3 linked regions of the Sus scrofa genome follow. The protein of the gene in region 2 purifies or fractionates together with the protein of the main gene of each other region. This does not show direct contact. Links are inferred from orthologs where the notes say so. Each region holds a gene or a part of one and is shown on either strand. Other genes may lie near its edges.

Region 1 (4,284 bases), on a different chromosome or scaffold from region 2:
TCTAATTATTGCTTATTGATTATTTCCCCCCCCACACACACACACACACCGGGAACTGTAAGGAGATTAAAGGGAAAGGCCTCCATCTGTTACACCTCGTGTGTGTAAGTGGCTTGGGGCTTCCTCCCCACAGGCAGCAACCCTGAGGTGAGCCCAGCTGGCAGGTCAGAGGGAGGGGAGGAGACACACCTGGCAAGAATCCCAACTTAGGGAGTTCCCTTTGTGGCTCAGCGGTTAATGAACCCAACTAGGATCCATGAGGATGCGGGTTTGATCCCTGGCCTCACTCAGTGGGTTAAGGATCCGGCGTTGCCATGAGCTGTGGTATCTAGGTTGCAGATGCAGCTCACACCCGCTGTGGTGTAGGCTGGCAGCTACAGCTCTGATTCGACCCCTAGCCTGGGAACTTCCATACGCCGCAGGTGCAGCCCTAAAAAAAAGCAAATAATAATAATAATGGAATCACAACGTCCAGCCATAACATGGCTCACAGGACGGCCGGCTCTGCTGACCGCGTCTTCCCACCTTGTGGGCACCAGCATGGGAAGCCGGGACTCAGGCTCTGAGTCCACCGGGAGGTGACTGGCTGGCCAGAGCCCACACGGCCAAGGGGCAGCGCTCACCGCTGTGGCTCCAAATGTCTGCTAAGACGCCCGAGCCTGTGCTGGGGCACCCAGAAACCAAGCCCCATCAGTAACCCCACTGCACGGAGGAGGAAGCTTAGGCCTGAAGAGGTCCAGCACCTTGCAGCGCTCACAGAACTAGCAGGTCGCGGAGCCGGAAGAGGACCCGGAAGCCCGACGCGGGAGTCTACACCCGGGAGGTGAAGAGCGCTCGCGCGTTGGGCAAGAGCCCTGGCACCGCGGTGGGCGTGGCCTAGCGGAGAGGGGCGGGGGGAGCCGCGAGGGCGGGGCCGGGCCGGGCCGGGGCGGAGCCGGCGGCCTCCATTGGGTGCTTCTTTGAGTTCGTCACAGGACTGCCAGGCCAGACTCCGCCCAGGCCCCGCCCCTCCGTGGGGGTTAACCCCGCCCCCTCCGGCCTGGGCCCTCCTGCCCTTTAGGCTGAGGCCCGCGGTCAAGGCGCGGGGCCCAGACGCCTCTGCCCCGGCGCGCGGGGGCCGCTCTGTTCCACACTCAGGCCAGAGGTCAGCCAGGGGCTTTTGAAGCCCTTGGAGCCACACTCGCGGGCATTGTCAGTTGCCTGTTCTTTTTCTTCCTAGCAGCTTTACTGAGGTGTAACTTGCAATTCCTCCATTTAAAGCGCACAGTTCTGCGGGGTTTACCCAGAGCTGTGCAGCCATCGCCACAACTTAATTTAGGGCGTTTACATCCTCAGTCCCTCTCATCCTCCTCAGGCTCCGACGGCGCTGCGCTGAGAGACCTGGCCGCCAGGGGGCGCCGCGACCCCGCCCTCAGCTGCGCCTGCGCCGACTCCGCGCGCGAACCCCAGAGCGAGCCCGCCGAGCGCGCGCCCGCCCCGCGAGTGCGCCTGCGCGGAGCCCGTGGCCGCGCCCGCTCCCGCCGGGGGCTCGTCGCTGGGCGGCCGGGCCATGGGGGAGGCCGAGGTGGGCGGCGGTGGCGCGGCGGGCGACAAGGGGCCCGGGGAGGCAGCCACCAGCCCGGCCGAGGAGACGGTCGTGTGGAGCCCCGAGGTGGAGGTGTGCCTCTTCCACGCCATGCTGGGCCACAAGCCCGTCGGTGAGCGGAGCGCCGCGCCGAGGCCGCGCACCCGCGTGGGGGCGGGGCGGCCGGCAACGGCCGGGGGCGCGCGCGGGGCGGGCGGGGCGGGGCCTCCTGCGCCTGCACCCCTGCACACCCTGCCCCCACCTGCTCGCCCCTCCCCGGCCTGCTCCTTGCAGTCCCCTCCCCCGCTCGACTTTGCCCCCTCCCGCCCCCACCCCCCCACGCCGGCCGACCCCTGCCTTCACCTGCACCCCTGCCCCCTTTGCTCCTCCCCCACTGACCCCTACCTCTTCCTCTCCCCCCTTGTACCTGCCACCAACCCCATTCTACCCCCGCGCCCTCCAAGCACTGCCCCCGTCTCCCCCTGCGCCTTCTCCCCTCTCTTCCCCTTGACCCCCACGTCTGTTCTCCAAACTACCTGTCTGCCCCCACGGGCTGACCCTTTCCCCCTGCAGGTGTGAACCGGCACTTCCACATGATCTGTATCCGGGACAAGTTCAGCCAGAACATCGGCCGGCAAGTGCCCTCCAAGGTCATCTGGGACCACCTGAGCACCATGTACGACATGCAGGCACTGGTGAGCTGGCCCCCACCCTCCCCCAGACAGGTGGTGGCCGAGAGCCCCCTCCGTGCGCCTCCCTGCGTCTACACCAGGCCCTGTCCTCAGGGAACTTGACGTCTGGGCTGCCCCGCAGGGGACCAGTTGTTCAACAAGGTAGCTCCGAGCAGTTTTACAGAAAACACAAACCTAGTGACGGTAGCTGGTTATCACATGGCACCTACTTGCAATTGAGGGGTCAGTTAGGACCTGGCCAGGAGACGACTGAGGAGCTGAGGCCTGTGGGAGGGGCTCTGAGGCCATTGTCAGTCTTACAGAAAGTCCCAGAGTGCTGTAGGCAGGGAGGTGGCAGGGTCTGAGTCAGGTTAAGGTGACACTGGTGACTGCTGGTAGAACCAGGCAGGCAGGGACCCGGGCCTCACGGAACCCCCCCTGAGCCATGTCGTTAGCGGGGCAGATGAACTAGGGGAACAGGGTGGCCAAAGAGACCAGTGGCGTTCCCAGCAGAGGAGCGGCAGGTGTCAAGGCTCTGTGGCAGCAGGCGTTGGTGCATCAGAGGACGCAGAGGAGGCCAGGGTGTCTGGAGAGTGGGTGGGAGCCGGGTGGCAGGTGCCCGGTGAGGTGGGAGCCTGTGCTGGGTTAGGGAAGGCTCCATCTCCCCTCACGCCCCCAGGCGAGAATTGGTGCGTGTGGGCAAAGGGGGCAGCAGACCCCCAGCCGTCTGGGTCCAGAAACCTCACTGCCATTCCCTCCCTTTGGCCTTGGGCGTGGCACTCACATCTCGTCCTGGTGTAGGGAGGAGAGAAAGGTGACCACTGTGTCCTGGGACCAGCGCCTGGCCTGCAGTAGGCATTCTAGAAACTCGAGAACTGGCCGCTAAACTACACCAGGCCCACCCAAAGGGCCATGCCTGCTGGTCAGGGCCTTGCCCTCCGTGAGTTCCCGGGTTCCACAGCTTGACTGGGCTCGCATACCTGTCACACTGTGAGGTCACCTGGCCCCCAGGCACGTCCTGAGCCCTGACTGCTGGCTGGACCCAGAGATCAGAGTGGCAGGGTCCCCGACCTGGGGGAGGCAGATGGTTCTTAGGCACGCTGCTGGCCCAGAGGATCCCATGGCTGTGACCCCAGCACAGGGCCCACGTGACACTCAGGGAACTGCAGCGGGGGCACCCAGGGCTTTCAGCCCGGGACAGTGGCCCTTCTCTCTTTTCCTCGCACCCTAGCATGGCTGTGGGGCTGACGTCACGGTCACCTGGGGCCTTGAACCCCACCCGCAAGGTGCCGTGGGCGCAGGAACCCTCGGGTTTTGAAGCTCCTCGATGCCGATCAGCACGTTTACACGCTGACCGCCTGGTGATGAGCACGGCTCCCGAGTGTCTCCTGATCGCCCCCAACCCTGAGTCCCTCCTGCCAGCTAAGCTCTCCCTTCGTCCCATGGGCTGCGTCTCCACCGTCTCTGTCCGGTCCGGCAGGTGCGAGCTGCCAGCCAGGTGGAACACGCTGAGCATCGGCGGTGCCTGCTCCCCTGCACTCACCTGCTTCCCACCCCGGTGGCCCGCCCACATGGGTGAGACGGGAGCCCCATGGCCTTTCTGCAGGGTTGTCACGGCCCTCGGATCGCGTGCTCCCGGAGCCTGCACAGCCGGGCCAGGCCTGCGGGACAGCTGCAGCCTGATTCTGGCCCTGCAGGTGTGCCAGCAGACTGGGCACCCTGGCCCCATCTCAGGTGACAGTCAACCCAGAGTCTTCCCTCTCGTGACTGATGCTGGTGGCTCATGCTGTGGTTTTGCCTTGTCTGGCTCCGTGTGACAAGCCCAGCCCCTCGTAAACCGTAGAAGAGAAAGAAACGGCCTCGGCCCCCTCCACCTGCCCACTGCAGCCTCGAGACCGTTACCTGTGTTTGTTGTTTGCTCCTGAATTTAAAAGTCACGTTTAAGAGCTCCCTGGTAGCTCAGTGGGTTGGGGATCGGGTGTTGTCACTGCAGCGGCTCGGGTTGCTGCTTTGGCTCGGGTTTGATCCCTGGCTCAGGAGCTTGTGTGC
Region 2 (3,510 bases):
GTGCTGCAAGTGTGGCCCTAAGCCAAAAAAAAAAAAAAATTCTTACGATTCATTCAGCCAAAGTAGTTTTATAGCAGAGGCAACTCAAAATAGTAGAAAGTTCCTCAGCACTGTTTTAGGCATGAATTTCAACATCTCTCCCAAATCTTTCACCAAAATTGCTGTGTTAAAATTTAAACCTTTGGGTTTTTCCTGCAGTTATCTGTTAATGGTGAGAGAAAGCTGTAAGCCAAAAAGTAAAAGAAAGAAATGATAGGAATTATGTCATCTGTAGTTTTAATAAGCATTCAGCAAATAGTCAAGGTTTAACTGTAATCTTACCTTAAGGCTAATCAGTGTTTGCAGTTATACCTCAGTTAGCTGTTAGTAGTCATGAGGATAAGTATGTGTAGAACTAACTTTTTAAACTTTCTTTTTATAATTTCAGGTATAATTTGGGTGACTACAATGGAGAGATCATGTCTGAGGTTATGGCACAGAGACAGCCAATGAAACCTACTTACACCATCCCCACCATCCCCATCAGCAACAGCAGTCAGTTTAAACACCAGGAAGCCATGGATGTGAAGGAGTTTAAAGTTAATAAGGTGATAAAAATTGCTCTGATAATAGCTGAAAATGTTAGTGGTGTTTTATCGTTACATTCAAAATGAGGAGTTCCCTGGTAGCTCAGCCAGTTAAGGATCTGAAGTTGTCATTGCTGTGGCTCTGCTTTACTGCTGTGGCAAGTGTTCAGTCCCTGGCCCAGGAACTTCACATGCCCTGGGTATGGCAAAAAAAAAAAAAAATCAGAGTGGAAAAGAAATATGTATGTTTATGTATATATATAAACCCTACTCTTAAAACCAGATTTTGATTTAAGACTGGACTGTTGATACAGCACTAGAAATCATAAAGAGAAATACTTCATCATTTAATAATTAACTTTTCTTTAAAAAGCTTAATGCCATAAATTGTATGAAACTTGACATAAATATTTAGCATATTTATACAACCATGATACTTGCCATGTTCTTTTCTTCCCAGGAAATATCATTTGTGCCTCTAATCTTTCTTGCCTGTTGCCTACACATGGAATTCGTACCCCCACAGCCTCTGCCATCACCTGCTATGCTCATTTGTAATAGGCACTGTGATCCTCACTCCATCACTCTTGCCTCTCTCTCTTTTATCCCTGCATTTCCCTATCTGATGATTTCATATCTTTATCCTTTAAAACTGCTCACAATTTTTCACTCCAAAAAGCTTTCGTTGTTGAGCCAGCAAGTCCTTACTACTCTTGACTTTTGGGGGTGTTGGTGGGAGTCGCCCCCACAGCATGCAGAAGTTCCCCAGCCAGGGATTGAAGCCTCGCCACAGTTGTGACCTATGTACTCTTTATTTTTTTAATACTTTTGCATCATCAATTTATTTTTCACTATGCTAACAGTTATCTGAAGTTTGCTCTGTGTGTATATAAAATTGTTTTAATTAATGCTTTTCCAGGGTTGATTTGTTACTTTTTTAAAGACTAGGCATCCCTTTTGAAAAATTCTGCCCTAGCATTTTCATAGAAGTTAAGAAAAAGATACAAGAGCCAGTGGTAAAAACTAATTGCAGTTGCAAGATCTCAGAGGCTGGAGAACTTTGACTTTAATGGAAACAGTACTTGATGATTATGTTTAGGTTGTAGGAACATACTTATGTTTTCACAGAGACCAGCCTCTGAGACTTTACAGTGTAAGACGACAAAACGTAAAGGTCTTGTGTCTCTGATGGTAGAAAGGCCTTCATTTTAGCAGTGAACTTATTTTTAAGACTTCCCCAGAACTTTCAGTTTGTTGAACATGGTTTCTAGTGTTTAATTCCTGACTGTATTGCAGCAAGATAAAGCCGATCTTACCCGACCTAAACGTAAATATGAAAAGAAGCCCAAAGTCTTACCTTCGTCTGCTGCTGCTGCCCCTCAACAGGCGAGCCCCGCCGCGCTGCCGCCCTTCAGCGCTAGAGACCTGAATCAGTACGACTTCCCCAGCTCGGATGAAGAGCCTCTGTCCCAGGTGAGTGGCGAGGGTTCTCTGCGGACACAGGCGGTAACATGGGAGGCACACGTTCTGACTGGCTTCCTTCCATTGAAAGGTTTTGTCTGGCTCTTCGGAAGCTGAGGAAGAGAATGACCCCGATGGCCCCTTTGCTTTCCGTCGGAAGGCAGGCTGTCAGTACTATGCGGTAAGTTCCTAGTTCTCTTCTCGAGTGACAGACTGTTTACCTCTCGCTGACCAAGAAAAATAATTGGGGTTTTTCTTTTTAAGCCTCACTTAGACCAAACTGGCAACTGGCCTTGGACTAGTCCTGGCGATGGCGGATTGGGGGATGTGCGATACCGATACTGCTTAACCACCCTGACCGTACCCCCGAGGTGCATTGGATTTGCACGAAGACGGGTTGGGCGCGGTGGAAGGTGAGGTGTCTGTACTCTTGCAATGGGGATGTTTTAGGTGGCGGGGTCAGGGGATCTCAAGTTAAAGTGAGGTCATCTGTCTAAAGAGCTCATTTGTTCCCACCTGCTGTTCTTAACCAATTTTTTGGACTAAAATACTGGCTACCTGTTTCTTTGTTTTTCTTTTTTCTTCTTTCTTTTTTTTTAGGGTCGCATCCATGGCATATGGAAGTTCCCAGGCTAGTGGTCAAATCGGGAGCTACAGCTGCCGACCTACACCACAGCCACAGCCACAGCCACACAGGATCCGAGCTGCGTCTACGACCTATACCACATTGCACAGCAATGCCGCATCCTTAACCCACTGAGCGAGGCCAGGGATCAAACCTGCAACCTCATGGTTACTAGGTGGATTCGTTTCTGCTGTGCCACAACGGGACCTCCTGATACCTATTTCTTATTCAGCCATAGCTTTTAATGCATAACTAATAGTTGCCTAATGGATCTGCTTTTCTTCCTGAGATTGTAAACCTCAGATATCTATTCTTAAGAGATAGAACTCTGAGAAAAGGCAGCAGATGAAGGCAAGTGTAAACCATAATTACATAAATTGTATTAAGTTAAGGAGACTACACAAAATTGTTCTAGGAGTTCTGGGAGACATTGGGGGAAAAGGATTAAATAGGCTAAGGAATGTCACATAACTAGTATACTGAGTTAACTCCCAGTGGAAAGGCTCCAGGATTCACAAGCCTTGATATCGCCTTGTCTGGACTTCTTTGTTTAAACCTGATGAAGCCCTTCACACTATAGATGCCTTGGTGTGAGAGGTTGTGTGGGGAAGGAAGAAATTACGGAAATTAAAAAAGCAAAGAAAGACAAAGACACTCAAGTAAATGTGAAAAAAAAATTTTTTTTTAAAACAAAACGGAGTTTCTGTTGTGGTGAAGCAGAAACAAATCCGAATAGTATCCGTGAGGATTCAGGTTCCATCCCTGGCGTCGCTCAGTGGGTCAGGGATCCAGTGTTGCCCTGAGCTGTGGTGTAGGTTATGAATGTGGCTTGGATCCCACATTGCTGTGGCTGTGACG
Region 3 (4,227 bases), on a different chromosome or scaffold from region 2:
CCAGCCTACACCACAGTCACAGCCATGCAGGATCCCAGCCACGCATGCCATCTAGTCCACAGCTCAGGGCAACCAAGGATCCTTAACTCACTGAGTGAGGCCGGGAATTGAACTCGCGTCCTCGTGGATACTAGCTGGGTTCTTTAGCGCCAAGCCACAACAGGAACTCCCAATTTTTTAATTTTAAAATTAACAGCAAATTTCCAAAAAAACTTGATAAAACTTTCAGATTGAAACCCAAACTACAGTACTAAAGAGTATATATTTCAAATTTTCTTAATGTCAGAAATACTGAATTATGTTTATAACGTAATTACTGTTAAAACTCCAAGTATGAAAGATTTGGATCACTACTGTCTCCAAGCAGCTGGACGTGTACAGAGGTGCTATTAATCTATTAGTTGGAAAATTAAGTAGCTGGCATTATGATAGTACTGTGTGTACAGTACTATTTTTTTAAGCCCATCATTTGCATTTGATTACATGGACCATCTGTAACTGCCTGTGAATCATATGAGGACATTTACCGAACATTTGTCAAGTAGCAAAATGTTTAGCATAGAAGAGTTGACACATAATAGCCTTCATGTTTCACTAAATCAACTTTAGAAGCCAGGCTATAGGTACAACCCACAGACGTGTAGTCTTTAGAAAAATATGATTTGATTAAAGAATACCGCCTCAGCCCAAGCCTTCAGTGGGTAGACCAAAAGGTCTTTTATGACCAGCGAGGTGACTTTGCTTCACCGTCTTTTCCATGAAACTGTTCTGTTGGGGTTGGGGAGGTAGGGGGTTCAAAAAGTCCTGAGAAAAGAAGAGGAAGGAGATACAGCTGAAAAAGTGGGAGCAGAGGGTCGTGATGAATCGGTGGCTGGGCACTTGCCTAGGAGGAACAAACGCGAAATCACTACCCAGACTATGGTTAGCGAAGGAGTCGGGGCGCCTTTCACTGGACGCCTTCGCGCCACCTGTCAGACCGGAGGTGTCAACGGGAATGCAGGGGGGTCGGTGAAGGTACCCCGTGCTCCGGAAGAAGGCTGCGGACAGGCGGGTCTCTGCCCGCCAGGTGTTCTAACGGGGCGGAGGCGGAGGGAGGGCAGGGCAGGAAGGAGGGAGTGCTAGTCCCCGCTTTCCGAGGTCTCTGGAACCGAGCAAGGAGGCAAAGGTGGAATAGGGGGCAGCTACTGCGTGCCCCTCCCCTGAGCCTCTCAGCTCCTCCCTCCAGGCACGTGACTAAGCCGGCGGGTGCCCTGCTCAAGCAGCGTAGCTCGCTCTGTTTCTTCCCTCCCGCCGCTGTGCCCTTCTTCTCCCGGGTTCCCATCCCTCCGTTCTCCCCCACCTCCTTCTCATGCCCCAATAACAGCTCGAGCTGCAAAGCGCCCGCCCCTCCGCCCTTTTCTTCGCTTGCTCATTGGCTGAGACTTCAAGGACGCGGCCCGAGGGCGGGTGGCAGCCATTGGTGGGATGAGCAATCCGAGTTCCCGGATGAGGGAACATTCTGCAGTATAAAGGGAGCGGGGAAGGCGGGAGACAGCGCAGTTTGAATCGCGGTGCGACGGAGGAGTAGGCGGCGGGATCTCGCTTGGTGACTGACTAGTCCTTTCTCTGCCTTGCTTGTTTGAGCTTCAGCAGAATTCGAAATGGTAAACTTCGCGGAGGCGCTCGAAGACTACGCGGGTTTTTGCCGGCAGGAGAAAAACCCGTTACACACGGAGATGGGGGTGAAGCGGTGACGGTTGGGAACGCGCGGAGAGAGGATGTGGAAGAGCGGGGGGAGGTGTTTTGTCGGCGGCGAGCGGAGCAGCCTCCGATCTCGCGGCGGGCGGCGACGGTTGGGTGGCGCGCGCAGCGCCGCTGGGAGCCGGAGGGCGGTGAGCGGGCGGCCTGAAGCGCGCGGCCGCGGCGGGCGCGCAGCGGGGGGCAGGCGGGCGGGGTCGCCCTTGCGGCGCGCGGCGGGCCGGAGACCCCGGCTGGGCACCGGGCCCCGCTCGCGCCCGGGCCGCCCCGCGGTGGGGGAGGGGCGCGCCGCCTTGGTAATCCTGTATTCTGCGTTCCTTCTTCGCTCGCGGGCGTGTGCGCGCCGCAGGCTGGCGGTAAGGCTGGGAAGGACTCCGGAAAGGCCAAGACAAAGGCGGTTTCCCGCTCGCAGAGAGCCGGTTTGCAGGTCAGTGGGGGTTTCTGCTGTCTGGGAATCGCGGCGTTTTTCTCTCCTTTTTCTCTGTTTATCATTGCACTAGATGAGCTTTTGGTCTTTGCGTGGTGATGGTGTCGGGACTTGGTTTACCGATACAATAAATATTGGGGAAGGGGGGGCGATCACGTGTGGCGATGCTAGGGCGCGTTGCTGCATCAGCCTCCGTGCCCCTTGCTTTGGCGCGCGTATAATTTGACCATTTTTGGCTCCTCTATCTTTGTGCATTTGTGTTTGTGTATGCGAAAAATGAAGTTTCCGGTGGGCCGTATTCATCGACACCTGAAATCTAGGACGACCAGCCATGGACGTGTGGGCGCGACTGCCGCTGTGTACAGCGCAGCCATCCTGGAGTACCTCACCGCAGAGGTAAATGGGTGTACGCCTGTAATCTGGAAAAGGTGGTGGGGGGAGGCGGTGAGAGGGAAGGAGGAAAGTGATGCAAGAAAACTCCCAGGCTCTGAACGCGGTGAGAAGCTTCTGACAACGCTAGAGGGGGCTGGTGTTCATTTTGGGTTCCTCCTGAGCTTGAGTTGACTGCTTTAGGAAATAAAATTGCGTGTCCCCTTTATAGCTTTTGCATATCTTGCCATTCAGGTAGTGGGGGGAGACGGCAGTTGGTAGATACACGTTCACGAAGGTTTGATTCTTCTGGATCTTGATCCTAAGGAAAGTTGGCAGGAGATTGATTAGATTCTGTCTTCTAGGTACTTGAATTGGCAGGAAATGCATCAAAAGACTTGAAGGTAAAGCGTATTACTCCTCGTCACTTGCAACTTGCTATTCGTGGAGATGAAGAATTGGATTCTCTCATCAAGGCTACAATCGCTGGTGGTGGTATGTAAATACTAAAAATTTTTTAATTTCTTTAGATAATTCTTTACTTTTTTCCCCCACTAGAAGAGGACACTTAGTGTTATTTTCAGTGATCTGTAGTATGGTTGCATCATGAAAATTGATTCCTGTATATAACTTAGTGAATTTTTACTTCTGCATACTCTGGCCTCACATTTAAAGACTTCTTCGAAGTTGAACGTTAAACTGTCATGGTTTTGAAGTCCTGTGTTAATTTTCAAAATAATGTATATTTAAAAGTATCCCTTTCCTCCCCTAGGTGTCATTCCACACATCCACAAATCTCTCATTGGGAAGAAAGGACAACAGAAGACTGTCTAAAGGATGCCTGGATTCCTTATTATCTCAGGACTCTAAATACTCTAACAGCTGTCCAGTGTTGGTGATTCCAATGGACTGTATCTCTGTGAAAAACACAATTTTGCCTTTTTGTAATTCTATTTGAGCAAGTTGGAAGTTTAATTAGCTTTCCAACCAACCAAATTTCTGCATTCGAGTCTTAACCATATTTAAGTGTTACTGTGGCTTCAAAGAAGCTATTGATTCTGAAGTAGTGGGTTTTGATTGAGTTGACTGTTTTTAAAAAACTGTTTGGATTTTAATTGTGATGCAGAAGTTATAGTAACAAACATTTGGTTTTGTACAGACATTATTTCCACTTCGGTGGATAAGCTCAATAAAGGTCATATCCCAAACTAGTTGTGTATTAAATTCACTTGATTATGATGGGAACAACTTTTGTTTTGAATAACTATCTTATCCAGCAATAACTTAATAAGCACGTTTCTTACCTTGAAATTAAAATGTTAATTTTGTAGATCAACAAACCTCGAAGGCTAAAGCATATATATATTTTTTAATGCTATGAGATGAACTATTAAAGATTTTAAAACTTCAGTAGGAGCTTGGAACTGGACAAGGTGATGTTTTTTAGGTTAAATTTGATCATCTCAATTTGTCGCTGCACTTGCTGTTTGTGACAGCAGCACTACATCCAGAGCACTGTCATGGACTGGGGCAGGTAGGGAAGTTCTGTATATTGCTACCTCCACAGAAGGTACTTTCAGTATAAACAGTGAAGTGTTTCCTGTGTTCTCCCACTGTTTCAAAGGCTACCTGGATTAAACTGTTCAGTATGCACCATCTAATCCCGTTTTTACAGAAAAGAATCAAGGTTGGAG

Evidence for each region.
Region 1: the proteins of EPC1 (region 2) and MRGBP purify together in Homo sapiens (affinity purification with mass spectrometry; 6 studies listed by BioGRID and IntAct, counting the BioPlex papers as one, with this or other methods). This does not show direct contact. The link is inferred for Sus scrofa from reciprocal best matches to the Homo sapiens genes EPC1 and MRGBP.
Region 3: the proteins of EPC1 (region 2) and H2AFZ purify together in Homo sapiens (affinity purification with mass spectrometry; 4 studies listed by BioGRID and IntAct, with this or other methods). This does not show direct contact. The link is inferred for Sus scrofa from reciprocal best matches to the Homo sapiens genes EPC1 and H2AZ1.

Annotation. Positions count from the first base shown.
Region 1 is NC_010459.5:62,056,917-62,061,200, forward strand, and holds the start of MRGBP (MRG/MORF4L-binding protein), read left to right. Parts: upstream 1-1,484; 5' UTR 1,485-1,549; coding exon 1,550-1,697; intron 1,698-2,137; coding exon 2,138-2,259; intron 2,260-4,284.
Region 2 is NC_010452.4:42,850,013-42,853,522, reverse strand, and holds part of EPC1 (enhancer of polycomb homolog 1), read left to right. Parts: intron 1-427; coding exon 428-587; intron 588-1,862; coding exon 1,863-2,039; intron 2,040-2,118; coding exon 2,119-2,208; intron 2,209-2,291; coding exon 2,292-2,440; intron 2,441-3,510. UniProt on the Homo sapiens protein: Component of the NuA4 histone acetyltransferase (HAT) complex, a multiprotein complex involved in transcriptional activation of select genes principally by acetylation of nucleosomal histones H4 and H2A.
Region 3 is NC_010450.4:120,562,297-120,566,523, forward strand, and holds H2AFZ (histone H2A.Z), read left to right. Parts: upstream 1-1,455; 5' UTR 1,456-1,640; coding exon 1,641-1,643; intron 1,644-2,086; coding exon 2,087-2,164; intron 2,165-2,446; coding exon 2,447-2,560; intron 2,561-2,898; coding exon 2,899-3,028; intron 3,029-3,305; coding exon 3,306-3,367; 3' UTR 3,368-3,727; downstream 3,728-4,227. UniProt on the Homo sapiens protein: Variant histone H2A which replaces conventional H2A in a subset of nucleosomes. Nucleosomes wrap and compact DNA into chromatin, limiting DNA accessibility to the cellular machineries which require DNA as a template.